Schizosaccharomyces pombe: one gene and its partners. The protein of the gene in region 1 interacts with the protein of each later gene in a pairwise test. Each region holds a gene or a part of one and is shown in the gene's direction. Other genes may lie near its edges.

Region 1 (4,427 bases):
CAGTCGAGCTTTACAATGAGTTTAGCAATCATGGTCACATTCTCGGTGTAGCCATCAATCAAAGCATAAATGAAGATATGACTCACTACGCAGAAGTGGCTGTGAGCACCTATGAAAGTTGCATAGAGGTATTAAGCAAGCTATTTTTTGCTATAGCATTACTGACCTTTTAATTTAGATCATTGAAAAATTTCACGCCATTGCGTATGAAGGATCCATTTTACAACTTTTTATAAAACAACCTGTTCAGGGATTTTGCTCTAATTTGTTAAATCACCCAGAAGGAACCATGACAAATTTATTGCCCCCAAATATGGAAATGCCTCAGCCGTTTGAAATTCCAGTGATTGCCAAAACTTCTGCTTTGCCAAATCCATTTATTTCATTCCCTTCTTTCCAAACATCGTATGAAACGACAGTAACGCCAACACCAACCTCAACACCGACAATTGATCCTTGTAATTTATTTGTTAAAAACTTGGATGATAATATAGTAGGAAACACACAACAATTAGAAGAACTGTTTTCGAAATTTGGAAGGATAAAATCTTGCACTTTAGCGTCGTATCCCAGTACAGAAATATCCAAAGGCTATGGTTTCGTATCCTTCAGTCATCCATTTGAAGCTGTGCAAGCAATTAACACGTTAAATGGAGTGTTATTCGGAAAGAAAAGATTATTCGTGAATTATGCAGAAAAGAGAGAAGATCGCAAAAAGCGACTGAGTGCTATATTTAGCCAATCTTACCCTCCAGTTGTTCCATCGCCCTCTCTAACAATTCCAATGGCTACTGAACCACAAATTTTAGAGTATCATCAGGAATGGCCTCAACCTCTAATACAATCTATACAGCAGCACGGGTATAGCGATCCTAGACAAACATTACCAACTCGTTTAGATTCATGTGCCGCTAAGCTACGTGAAGCGGTGATTTCAAACGAAAACCTAAACCCAAGCCATAAATTCGGCATAAAACACTCCACATTCAAAACTTCACTATCGCCTTTAACCAACATTGTATTAAACCAATAAATAAAAGCAAGATATGTCTAAAGGACATAATATCAGTACCTGTCGTTTAAATATTTTAACAGTTCTTTTTTTTAATCTATCTCCCATGAAATTTAGGGACATAGTATTATACAAAGAAGATCGGAAAAAGTTGAAACACAAGGAGTCGTTAACAACGGTTGAAATTTCACATTTTAGCTCTGGAAAAGTATGTTTATTTTATAAAAGAAGAAAAGAAGAAAAAACCCCAAAAAAACAAGAATAATAAAAGATAATTGGACAGCTCTGCGAATATTTTTATTTTCTCAAAATATGAATACGCTCATTCTACATTAAATCACTCAATCTACACAAAAGGAATTAGTATAATAAAATAGTTTATAAAAAGAACATACTTATCTGCTTTTTTGACGATCATATAGCGAAGAACCGAAGGTTCAAGTCTCAGAATCCTCTGTATCTCAGATTGAACTGTGGGGTTACTGTAAAAGGTCATAGACCACCAGTGACCAAAAGAGTAAGATTGATTTAGTTTTTTTATAGGTTTAGCCAGTTCCTTAAGTCCCATGGACTCAACATCAACGACCACACCTTTGTTATCCAGGATTGCTCGACCACAATTTTTGGCAATATTCATGGCCAGAGTCTAAATTTATTAGTTCATGAATTCAAATTGTAAAACAGTATCTAGAAAGTAATGAGATAATGACTATCGCTTTGTGGTTCTTCAAAAAGCAAAAACGAGGTATTACCGCTAACTTACTGGTGAGGAAGTGCGTGTTGCATTTGCAGCTGGCCTAGTTATACAAAAAAGTTCATACATAACCATTATATTGCTATACTTTTCAAACTATCAAGAGTGCTTGTTATCGTGTGACCTTTTTACTAGCGTCTGTAAGTGAGAGGTTTGGCGGTACGCTAGGAAAAGAAGAGGTTTGAGTTAAGCACTAAAAACTTCTGTTTCGTAAATTACAGTCTAAAAAGAAAAGAATATATTAACATTAAAGTAAATATAAAGCAAACGTAAAGGAGAAAAACACGAAACGTTTGGGTCGTATATTTGTTACTTAACTTATTTAGCAAGATTCTCTTTATTAGATGAACGTGAAATTTACCAACTACAAGCAGTTACCAACAAAGGATATTTACAGCTATTAGCAGTATATCATCAAAGAAATCTTGATTTTTTTTGAAAGAAGATTGATCGAAAGAGTCAAACACGTTTTAGTCATCAATTGACTTCACATTTCTACTTGTTTGTTCTACAGCTAAAAAAAACACTACAGAACTTGAAATCTTTCTTCTCTTTTTTTCAGAAGTAAAATGGATAGGGAAGATATCTTAAAGGAATTTTGCAATCGCAATAATATTGACGTTAGTCAGGGCCGTTTTTTTTTAGAGTCCACGAATTGGAATTATGAATTGGCTACTGCACTTTTACATGAAGTAATACCTCCTGAAGAAGACCATGGGTTGCAACCTTCCAGTGATGTATCGAAAGTTCCTGAAGTTACTGGAAGCTCAAGTGGAATCAGTGGTGGTGATCAACAACCACCTCGACCGTTGCAAAGACAACAAAATACTCAAGGCCAAGGAATGAAGTCAGGAACTGCATCAAAAAAATTCGCCACGCTTAGGGATTTAGAGGGAAATGATGAAAGTGCAGAAGAGAAATCACATCTCTTTACTGGTGGTGAGAAGAGTGGGCTTTCTGTAGAAGACGGTGATCCTGATCCAAAGAAACAGTTGGTGCGCGATATTCTCGAAAAGGCACGTCAACACACAATATCTCCTTTAGATGAGCAAGATTCAGGTCCTTCTAGTCTTGCATCGTCTTGGGCTAGTGTCGGACAACGATTAGGCACAGAAAATGAGGCTTCTGGTTCGACCACTCCTGTAACGCAGTCAGGTCCTCCGCGTGAAAATCCTCCTACTGAGAGTCAACCAGAAAAGCCTTTACGTCGTACTTTGTACTTTTGGCGAAATGGTTTTAGTGTAGACGATGGTCCTATCTATACATATGACGATCCCGCTAATCAAGAAATGTTGCGTTATATAAATAGCGGTCGAGCACCTTTGCATCTTCTAGGAGTATCTATGAATCAACCAATTGATGTTGTAGTTCAGCATCGGATGGATGAGGATTATGTAGCGCCGTTCAAACCTTTTTCAGGCAAGGGACAACGTCTCGGTTCTACCTACATGCAACCACGAATGTCTCAAATGCCAGGTGGTCTTTACACTGATACTTCTACTTCTTCCTCTGTTCCTATAAATGTCAAACCCAATTCAACAACTCCGCATGCATCTTTACAGATTGACGAAAATAAACCCACCACGAGAATTCAAGTACGCTTATCAAATGGTGGAAGAACTGTCCTTACTGTCAATCTCTCGCATACACTTCATGATATCTATGAAGCTGTACGCGCCGTTTCACCAGGCAACTTCATCCTTTCCGTACCTTTCCCCGCAAAGACTCTCGAAGATGATCCGTCTGTCACTGTTGAAGCTGCTTCATTAAAAAATGCCTCACTTGTTCAAAAATCTCTGTAGTCTAAAAATAATAGGAAAAATAGTGATCCCCAGTTGACATAAGAGCCGTGGATTATTATATGAACATATGTGAGAGCTATTGAATATGGGAAGCATATTTCGGGTTGTCAGAAATCTGATTTCTATTTCTGAAAGGAAACCTTTTATTTATTTAATGATGTCCTATTAAATCATCAAAACAATTTCCAAGTTTGAGTATTTTATTGGTTATATCAGGATATGTAGCTCAGAGATAGTTGAAAACCGGAATTAAAAGTTATCACTATTATGGTTATTAATAAACATCTGTAGTTACCAAAGGACCTTTTTGAAAACATTGATTTTAAAAGAAATGCTATGATATGCTATCAACGTGGCACTAAGTATTAGCAAATTGACCTAAGATATACATAAACAAAAACTATTATTCATGAATGTAATTCCCATCAAACAATAATTAATGTTGGAGTTTGAAATATCAACCAACTTTTCTGCGCAAATACGTTTAGTCTTTACTGTTCAGTAAACCTTGACACAAGCAGTTAAGCATTGCAGCAAAGTCTGCTATTGTTTAGTGTAGTACTAATTTATGGGTTATTGTATTTATAGTGATGTTAACCAAAATTTGTAAGAAATCGTTACTACATCGAATCCATGATTTGATTCAACTTATCGCGAAGAGGGCATTTCCTAAGCGCACACCTCAAATACCTTCAATTTTGCTTCGATATCCCTAAGCAATCATGAAGATTGTTGATTTGATTGATAAAATTCCTAATGGAAACGCATTCTACTCATTTGAGTATTTTCCACCGAAAACCACAGTCGGTTTGGAAAATCTTTCTAGTCGTATAACGAGAATGTCGCGAAACATGATGCC
Region 2 (4,185 bases), on another chromosome or scaffold:
AATTTTCACTAACATCTCGTATAGCCTCGGATTCCGACTCTTCCATTGGAGAGGCACTTACAAATCGTGGATTAAAAAGAAAGAAAGGATCGAAAAATGTATATTATGGTTGCGTCGGTAACTCTAGTGGCTCCTCTATAGACATTGATGTATGTGTGAGTAATTGGGAATCGTAAACTGCTAACCACTACTTTATAGTACTATAACATTGGTAATACTAAAAGAGGAGTTGTCTCTCATTTTCGAAGGAGAATAGATCCGGAATGGTTGGACCATGATAACCCATATAACGATATAAACATAGCTGGTAAGTCGTACACACACTTAGTTATGTTAGACATACAATTTTTTTGATTCATTGTGCTTTTGGAGATTTCGTGTTGTGTTTTCAAAGATTGATTATGAATTGAATTGAAATATTAGTTATCAGCACTCGCCAATCATGGTCATATACATCGATCGCTTGCTAACTCAGTAAAAATTATAGAGATCATGTCACCGCTGACAAAACCACAAGACTTGCTCACACATCCTGCTATATCTTCCATATTTGAACAAAATTATTTATCAATCCTTGCTTCTTCTGCTCTTGAAATTATATCTGCTGAACACAAATATACTGCTCATCTCGAACAATTGATGGTTGCACTTTTAGGTGATGACCCATCACTACCAGGACCACCTCATGAAGTGTTTGGGATTTCTCCTGAACAGTGTAGAGAATTGACGATCACAGTTCAAGAAGCTTTGGAAAAAAGCAAGGAGTTTATTAGATGCTGGACAAACGTTCGCATGGACCTTCTTCGGGCCATTCGTTTTAAAAACAAAGTCATTGCTTACTGCCAAGGTGAAGACTATAATGGTAATACCCAAGTTTTGTCTAAAAATGAGAGTGATGGAAAACCAAATTCCTAAAATTTATTGATTTCTCATCAATCTTTTCAATTTCATTATTTTGAAGCTGATGAAGCGTATAAGTCAGCAAAATAAAACGTTGAGAATATTATTCTTTATTCCATTCGATTTACAATTCCTTTTTACGACATTATAAAAATAGAATTATCCTTTTTTAAAACGTCTTTGGTGATTTCTTCTGCAATGAAACTTAATTATTTCTTTTACTTTTTCATAACGTTGGGTTTTTTCTCAAGCTTGGCATCCCCAGCTATTAGAAACTTTGTCTTATAATTTGAGATACTGCTACTTACATATTCCCTTTGGCTATCCTAATTTCTATCCACACTTTTTTCTACTTATTCTTTCCAAGGGAAGTACGTTTACGTTTGCTGTTACATAATTTCATTTATCACTGTTGTATATTTTTTCGTTCAATCAACCGACTAACATGTGCTTGCCATTTGTATGTTAATACATTACTTATCCTTTATTTTGCTTTTTCATTTCCCCAAAGTATTAAAATTGTTATTTGTTGTGAAATTGCCCAACCTTCTTTTTGTTAGAACAATGTAAGTGCTTGAAACAACAAGATTACAAGGATTTATCGCAAAACATATTCAAGTAAACATCAATCTTTAAAAACCTGAAACCATCAGAACTATTGTTTGACTGTCCCTGATATGATTGTATCACTTTCTTCCTCAAAACTAAATTCAGACACACTAATCAATGCATGTGTGACAAGATATTTACGATTCCTGCATGTAATTTAACCGAAACCTGTTTTCACACATTTCTCAATTAAATTTTTGTTAAGAATTCCTATACTAAGAAAAATTTTCAGATGTGTGTAAAATTTCCATCGTTTATCTATAAAGATGGTTTATTGATGAGAAAGATAGTAAAAAATAGTGTCGGCTATATTATTACATCAGTGCGCTATCAGTTTAAAAGGTTGGGCCTACTAACTTAACATATACTACACCTCAAGAAAAAGAAAGAAATGCCCCAAGAAGTAAAACGTTGCGTTCTCGCCTATTCAGGTGGTCTTGACACCTCCTGTATCCTCGCCTGGCTTATTGAAGAAGGTTGGGAGGTCATCTGCTATATGGCTAATGTTGGTCAAGAGGAAGATTGGGATGCAGCCCGTGAAAAGGCCTTGAAGGTGGGTGCTAAGAAGGTTTACGTTGAGGACTTGCGTGAAGAGTTCATCAATGACACCGTCATTCCTGCTGCTCAAGCTAACGCCATTTACGAAAATGTTTATCTCTTGGGCACTTCTCTTGCTCGTCCTATCATTGCTCGCCGTCAGATCCAAATCGCCGAGAAGGAAAACTGTATCGCTGTCTCTCACGGTTGCACTGGTAAGGGCAACGATCAAGTTCGTTTCGAATTGGCATATTACGCTTTGAAGCCAGACGTTCAAGTCATTGCTCCTTGGCGTTTGCCTGTATTTTTCGAGCGCTTCGCCGGTCGTAAGGATTTGCTCGAATATGCTGCTGCTAAGGGCATTCCCGTTACTCAAACCACCAAAAAGCCTTGGTCTATGGATGAAAACATTGTACATTGCTCGTATGAAGCTGGAATCCTCGAGGATCCCAGTATGACTCCTCCCAAGGACATGTGGAAGCTCACCGTTGATCCCAAAGACGCTCCTGATGAGGTTGAAGAGCTCAGCATTCACTTTGAAAAGGGTGCTCCCACCAAATTAGAGTGCAAGGATGGTACCTTTAGCGGAGTCGTTTCCATCTTCTACCAATTGAACGCTATCGCTCGTCGTAACGGTGTTGGTCGTATCGATATTGTTGAAAACCGTTTCTCTGGTTTGAAGAGTCGTGGTTGTTACGAAACTCCTGGCTTAACCATTTTGCGTACTGCTCATATGGACTTGGAAGGTTTAACAATGGAACGTGAAGTTCGTGCTCTCCGTGACCAATTCGTTACTTTCAATCTCGCTAAAATTTTGTACAATGGACAATTTTTCTCTCCCTGCACTCGTATGCTTTTAGCAGCTAACAACGTTTCTCAAGAGGTAGTAAACGGTGTAGTTAAACTTTCTGTCTACAAGGGCAATGTCACTGTCCTCGGTCGTAAATCTGATACTGCTCATCTTTATGACGAGAAATTGTCATCTATGGATGAGCTTGGTGGATTTGACCCTACATGGACCTCTGGTTTCATCCAAATCGAGTCTATGCGTTTGCGTAACTCTGATGAAGGAAAACATTGGATGTAAATGCCAGGTCGTTCTCAATAATAATGTCATACTCACCATGTACTTGAGCCAAGCAATAATCAAATTTCTGCTGTGCAAATAAGAAGTATTATTTGAGATGGCTTCCTTTTCATATTCACATTTCATAGAATTACTCCGTTCATATCACTGATAAGTCAATTGAATATTTTTGTTGCAAAAAAAAAATAAATTCTGAAAACTGTAACTAATTGAAATTGAAGTTTTATATTGCAAACGCAAATTGTTAAGATGTTTAATGTACTCAATACTATGCTTTTAATTTAAAAAATATTTTACAGGCCTTTAGCCATTCTTCGTATACAGTCCTAAAATCAAGAATAATGTCGAAACCATCTTGAATGATAAATGAAATGAGGAACAAAAAAGATGAAAAATATATTACTAAAATAAAATTTTTTAAAGCATATCCATAACACTTTGTACTCGGTAATCTGAAAAAACAAAGAAGATAACGCTGCTAGTCAATGTTCAAAAAGATCCGTTATTGATAAACCAGTAAGCAAAGAGACAACCGATTAGTAAGAAAAAAGAAATTACAGCAAGTGTTTTGAAGAGGGCAAGGGCAATACTGGTAGTCTTATTTACAATGACCAAAGAGAAGTATAACACTATAATCAAAGTCAAGATATTAATAGCTGAGGGCAAGCTCAATCCTAGATTTCCATTGAACAATGATTTTAGGAAAGACGTTTCATATTTTTCGAAACTTTTGCCTACATTTTCAACGGTTTGAAAGACTTGATCAGGATTGGTATTTAATCCATGGTCCACAGCAAGTTTGGCGACGAAATTCCATAAAACGGATGTCAAAGACATTTTCTAAAAAGTTAAAATATGAACGGGGAGTAATAGAGATGGGAGTAGTTAGGTGTGCTTTTTGACTGAATGTTGACGTTGTAGGCGAATTTTACCAACGATTACATTTGCTAATAAAATATGTTAAAATAAAAATTGGAAGATGAGTTGAAATAAACGGTTCTATAAACAAAACTCATTTAAAGAAAGAACTGGCAAACAGATTATGTCAACAT
Region 3 (3,756 bases), 460 kb from region 1:
AATAAAAAGCAAACGGTTTACTAGTAAACAACCAAAAGCTTTGTCCACTCCCTTTTCCTTCAGCTTTATTTTTAGTTTCCACAAGCTTTTGATAAAATTGGATAATCCCATGACAATCTAACAGATACGTTATATGAGCACATGAAATCAATAGCGTAAAGCAACTCATGATTTTTGATTTTTCTTTAGATTGTACATTTTTTGAACTAAAGGAATACTTTCGTAAAGAAACGAAAAGCGTATAAGCTTTTATATTAAGGCATTCACAATTGATAGGTATAAGTTTTTTTTGACGGAGAAAATTAAAATATGGCCGGTATAGGTTAGCAAAGTCCGATTTTAAAATATTCATTTCAGAGGAGATCGTGACCTTAATCAACTGAATCTTTTTATGAAAAACATATGAGCGAATATCTATACTTTCTTCGTTGCGAACAATGAGTTTGGAGATATGGAGGCAATCTACTACCTTTTGAACAGAGGCGGTAGAAGATCCTGGAGTTGCGGTTAAACCAAGGACTCGAAAATGACTATTAGATCTAAGCACTGCCCTCATAACCTGAGCATACGAATGGTTGCCAGTAGCTCTATGAGCTTCATCAAATATCAGGCAAATAATACTTTTGGCATCCAGTAAATGTTCCTTTAAATCATTCTGGAGTGTTTGTGGAGTCATGAAAAATACTCGTTTCGTATTGTATTCGAAAAGTCGACGATCCGGTGATACTTCACCGTTCAATTCAGCGGTAGCACCTGGTGACATTCCCGCTACATTGGAACAAGCAACTCTTTGTTGCAACAGTAATGGTTTTGTGGGGGCAAGAAATATTATTTTGCTTTCAGGAAACCAACGAAAATAGTTTAACATGACCACTGCCGCAATAAATGTCTTTCCCAACCCAGTAGGTAGAGCCAGTAATAAATTGTGGAATAATGCTTGCTCACAAAATTCCTTTTGATAATTTCTATACTGCTGAGTCTGTGGAAAAATCCAGTTTTGCATTGCATCAATATTTTTTGGAATGTCAATATTGTTTTCTAACTCAGTTATAACTTGAGGTTGAGAAGAAGGAACCCTACAGCCTCGCAAGTCTAGTTGAAACGTAGTATTTTCAACGTCTTGATTATGTTTTATACATTTCAAATTTGGTTGCCTTAAAGCAGGATTAGAATTCAACAAAGATCCTTCAACATTACAAAGCACTGAGGTAGGAACATTTCCTCGTTCTCCGTTCACCTCGATACTTGGCAGGTCTACTTCAGAGTCGGAATAGTCACTTGAGTCTCTCAGTACAATCATGAAACTAAATTTATGAAAACGAACGAACACATAGACCAAAGTAAGTTTCAAAAATAAACTGAATATCAAACTTTTAAATTCTTGAACATCAAGTTTCTTCAATTTGATCAAACAACATTATAATCTTTGCTTTTCATAAACAAAGCTGATAAAACAATTAACAATTGAGTAAGATCAAGTCAGCGGAGGAGCATGAAAATTTAACGTTGTAAAATAAACACGAGTACTAATGCGATAAACAGAAAACAGTTTGCAAACTTGAAAAAAAAACTGTCAAACTCAAGAATTCAACTAACAAAATCACGTTACGGGGTGTTGATATTCACATCAGCAACTATGGTGGTGAAGAAAAATCACAACGGTATTAGTAGACATGTGAGATGTAAAGCGCGTTATCCAAAATAAATCCTCTACCACCATAAGATTATTAATTTTGCAATCTGCTAACCAACAGCAGTGTTTACAGTATTCGAACTTAATTTGAATCATGGACTCTGCTGATATCCGATCTGCGAAAGCAGCTTTGGAAAAAGCTATTCAGGGAAAGAATATAGAGGTTTGTAATTTGTGCTATTGGGACTTACAGATGGTTTTGAAGCTAATATCAAGCTAGACTATAATTAACATTATGACACGTTTAAAAAATGAAGTAGTTGCTACCGAAGAATTACTTAAGGTAGGTTTATTACATGCAATATGGTAGTATTCTCGCACGGATTGTTGACAATATATTACATGAATTTTGCAAATTTCACTTAATAGAAATAACATCTTTCTTAAAATACGAATTCCACAAGAGTACCAACATTTGATGGAGAATCGGTATTCAAAATACTAACCAATGATGCTAGGAAACCCGGCTGGGATTAGTCGTTGGCAAGCTCAGATCTCATCCCAATGAGAAAGTTGGTGAGCAAGCTCGGGAAATTGTAAAAAAATGGAAAGCCGATGTTAGTAAAGGTCGTCCATTGAAAACCACAACTACAACTTCCTCCACGCCTTCTAAACATGCGGATGTAGGTTCTCAAGCTCAAAAACAAGTTCAAAAACAAAGCAGCAGTGGTCAGCGTACTTTTAAATCTGATAATGTGAACGTCAATGTGACTGATGACAAGATTCGCAACAACTGTATTGGATTAATGTACAATGCATTAGTCATAGATTCGGATGAATCTTCTTCATTAATAATAGCCAAAGCCAAAGAAATTGATGCGCAAGTACTTGCTAGAGCAGCAGGTAAAACTGGTTCTGAATATCGAAACAGAATGCGGTCCTTGTATATGAATCTTAAAGATAAAAATAACCCGAAACTTAGAGCATCAGTATTACGAAATGAAATTACTCCGCAAAGACTCAGTACCATGACTTCTGCCGAATTGGCTTCAGAAGACCGTCGCAAGGAAGATGCCAAGCTAGAACAAGAAAATTTATTCCATGCGCAAGGTGCTAAACCCCAAAAAGCTGTTACAGACCTTTTTACTTGTGGGAAGTGTAAGCAAAAAAAAGTTTCTTATTACCAAATGCAAACAAGGTATGTTATTTGTCATGATTTTAGTACTTTTTATCGCGTAAAATTTATTAACAATCCGTATAGATCTGCTGATGAGCCTATGACAACGGTAAGCATTAGTCTATTTGGGTAGAATATTTGGACTAATTTTTTTTTAGTTTTGTGAATGTACTGTTTGCGGAAATCGCTGGAAATTTTCTTAAATCTTGGGTCAGCCCATTTAGATACCGGTTGTAAAATAATCCTTCATATTTCTTCTTCTTTTTATTGTTTTAGAAGCACTCTCCTCTATTGTGTGTGTTTTTTTTTGTTTTAGGATCTGATTGGTATCTTTCATTCTAGCGATGAATATATGCATATTTTACTTTTGCACACTCAATACGACACTTTTACAGTTATCCTACTTTACACTTCTTAATAAATCCAAATGGTGTTTTAAACGTACATTTAATAAGTTAACGCTTGATCAAAGCGAATAGATCATAAAATTCGACATTATTAATCCTCAATTAAACTGTAGTCATAATTAACAAGTGCAACGAAAAGTGGAACGATTAATTGTATTGGACAAAAATTTTAACAAAAATGAACGGGTTTACCATCGATACGAGTGTAATAAGCCGTATGCAAAATTGCAAATAATTCCGACAAGAATGGATAATTGCATTCTCAGAGAGAACATTGTCCTTTCCCAAAGAAAATAACAAGCAATAGCTCCTCCAAAAAAGCCTATTAATACTCCAGCCAACAAGGTTTCATATGACATGTCAAGTTCGTCGGCAGAAGAGTTTTGTCCTCCATTGTCAATCCAATCGTCTTCTGCCTCTCTGATAGCGTCTTCCGTGAGTGAATCCAAATTAGTTCCTCGTAAGCGATGAAATTGGCTACGCAAATTATTGACCTCGGTTTCTGTAAAACCAGCTTCACGTAAACGATCAAAACCACG

What was found.
Region 2: the proteins of ubx3 (region 1) and arg12 interact in a two-hybrid assay, tested with the Schizosaccharomyces pombe proteins (2 studies listed by BioGRID).
Region 3: the proteins of ubx3 (region 1) and tfs1 interact in a protein complementation assay, tested with the Schizosaccharomyces pombe proteins (one study listed by BioGRID).

The regions. Positions count from the first base shown.
Region 1 is NC_003424.3:1,651,949-1,656,375, forward strand, and holds ubx3 (UBX domain-containing protein Ubx3), read left to right. Parts: upstream 1-2,116; 5' UTR 2,117-2,335; coding exon 2,336-3,568; 3' UTR 3,569-3,882; downstream 3,883-4,427. Other genes in the region: mug28 (RNA-binding protein Mug28, implicated in mRNA processing), read left to right, coding at 1-128, 179-1,033; mrp17 (mitochondrial 37S ribosomal protein bS6m), read right to left, coding at 1,340-1,358, 1,408-1,658, 1,776-1,841; methylenetetrahydrofolate reductase Met11, read left to right, coding at 4,291-4,427. UniProt on the Schizosaccharomyces pombe protein: Involved in CDC48-dependent protein degradation through the ubiquitin/proteasome pathway. Involved in delivery of substrates to the 26S proteasome. Also required for membrane fusion and sporulation.
Region 2 is NC_003423.3:448,719-452,903, reverse strand, and holds arg12 (argininosuccinate synthase), read left to right. Parts: upstream 1-1,878; 5' UTR 1,879-1,900; coding exon 1,901-3,133; 3' UTR 3,134-3,464; downstream 3,465-4,185. Other genes in the region: Clr6 and Rpd3L histone deacetylase complex subunit Rxt2, read left to right, coding at 25-149, 199-307, 488-915; nuclear membrane organization protein Apq12, read right to left, coding at 3,623-3,970.
Region 3 is NC_003424.3:2,114,413-2,118,168, reverse strand, and holds tfs1 (general transcription elongation factor TFIIS), read left to right. Parts: upstream 1-1,712; 5' UTR 1,713-1,787; coding exon 1,788-1,856; intron 1,857-1,913; coding exon 1,914-1,976; intron 1,977-2,151; coding exon 2,152-2,831; intron 2,832-2,894; coding exon 2,895-2,919; intron 2,920-2,968; coding exon 2,969-3,013; 3' UTR 3,014-3,256; downstream 3,257-3,756. Other genes in the region: ATP-dependent 3'-5'-directionality DNA helicase fml2, read right to left, coding at 1-1,300; protein dsc3, read right to left, coding at 3,406-3,756. UniProt on the Schizosaccharomyces pombe protein: Necessary for efficient RNA polymerase II transcription elongation past template-encoded arresting sites.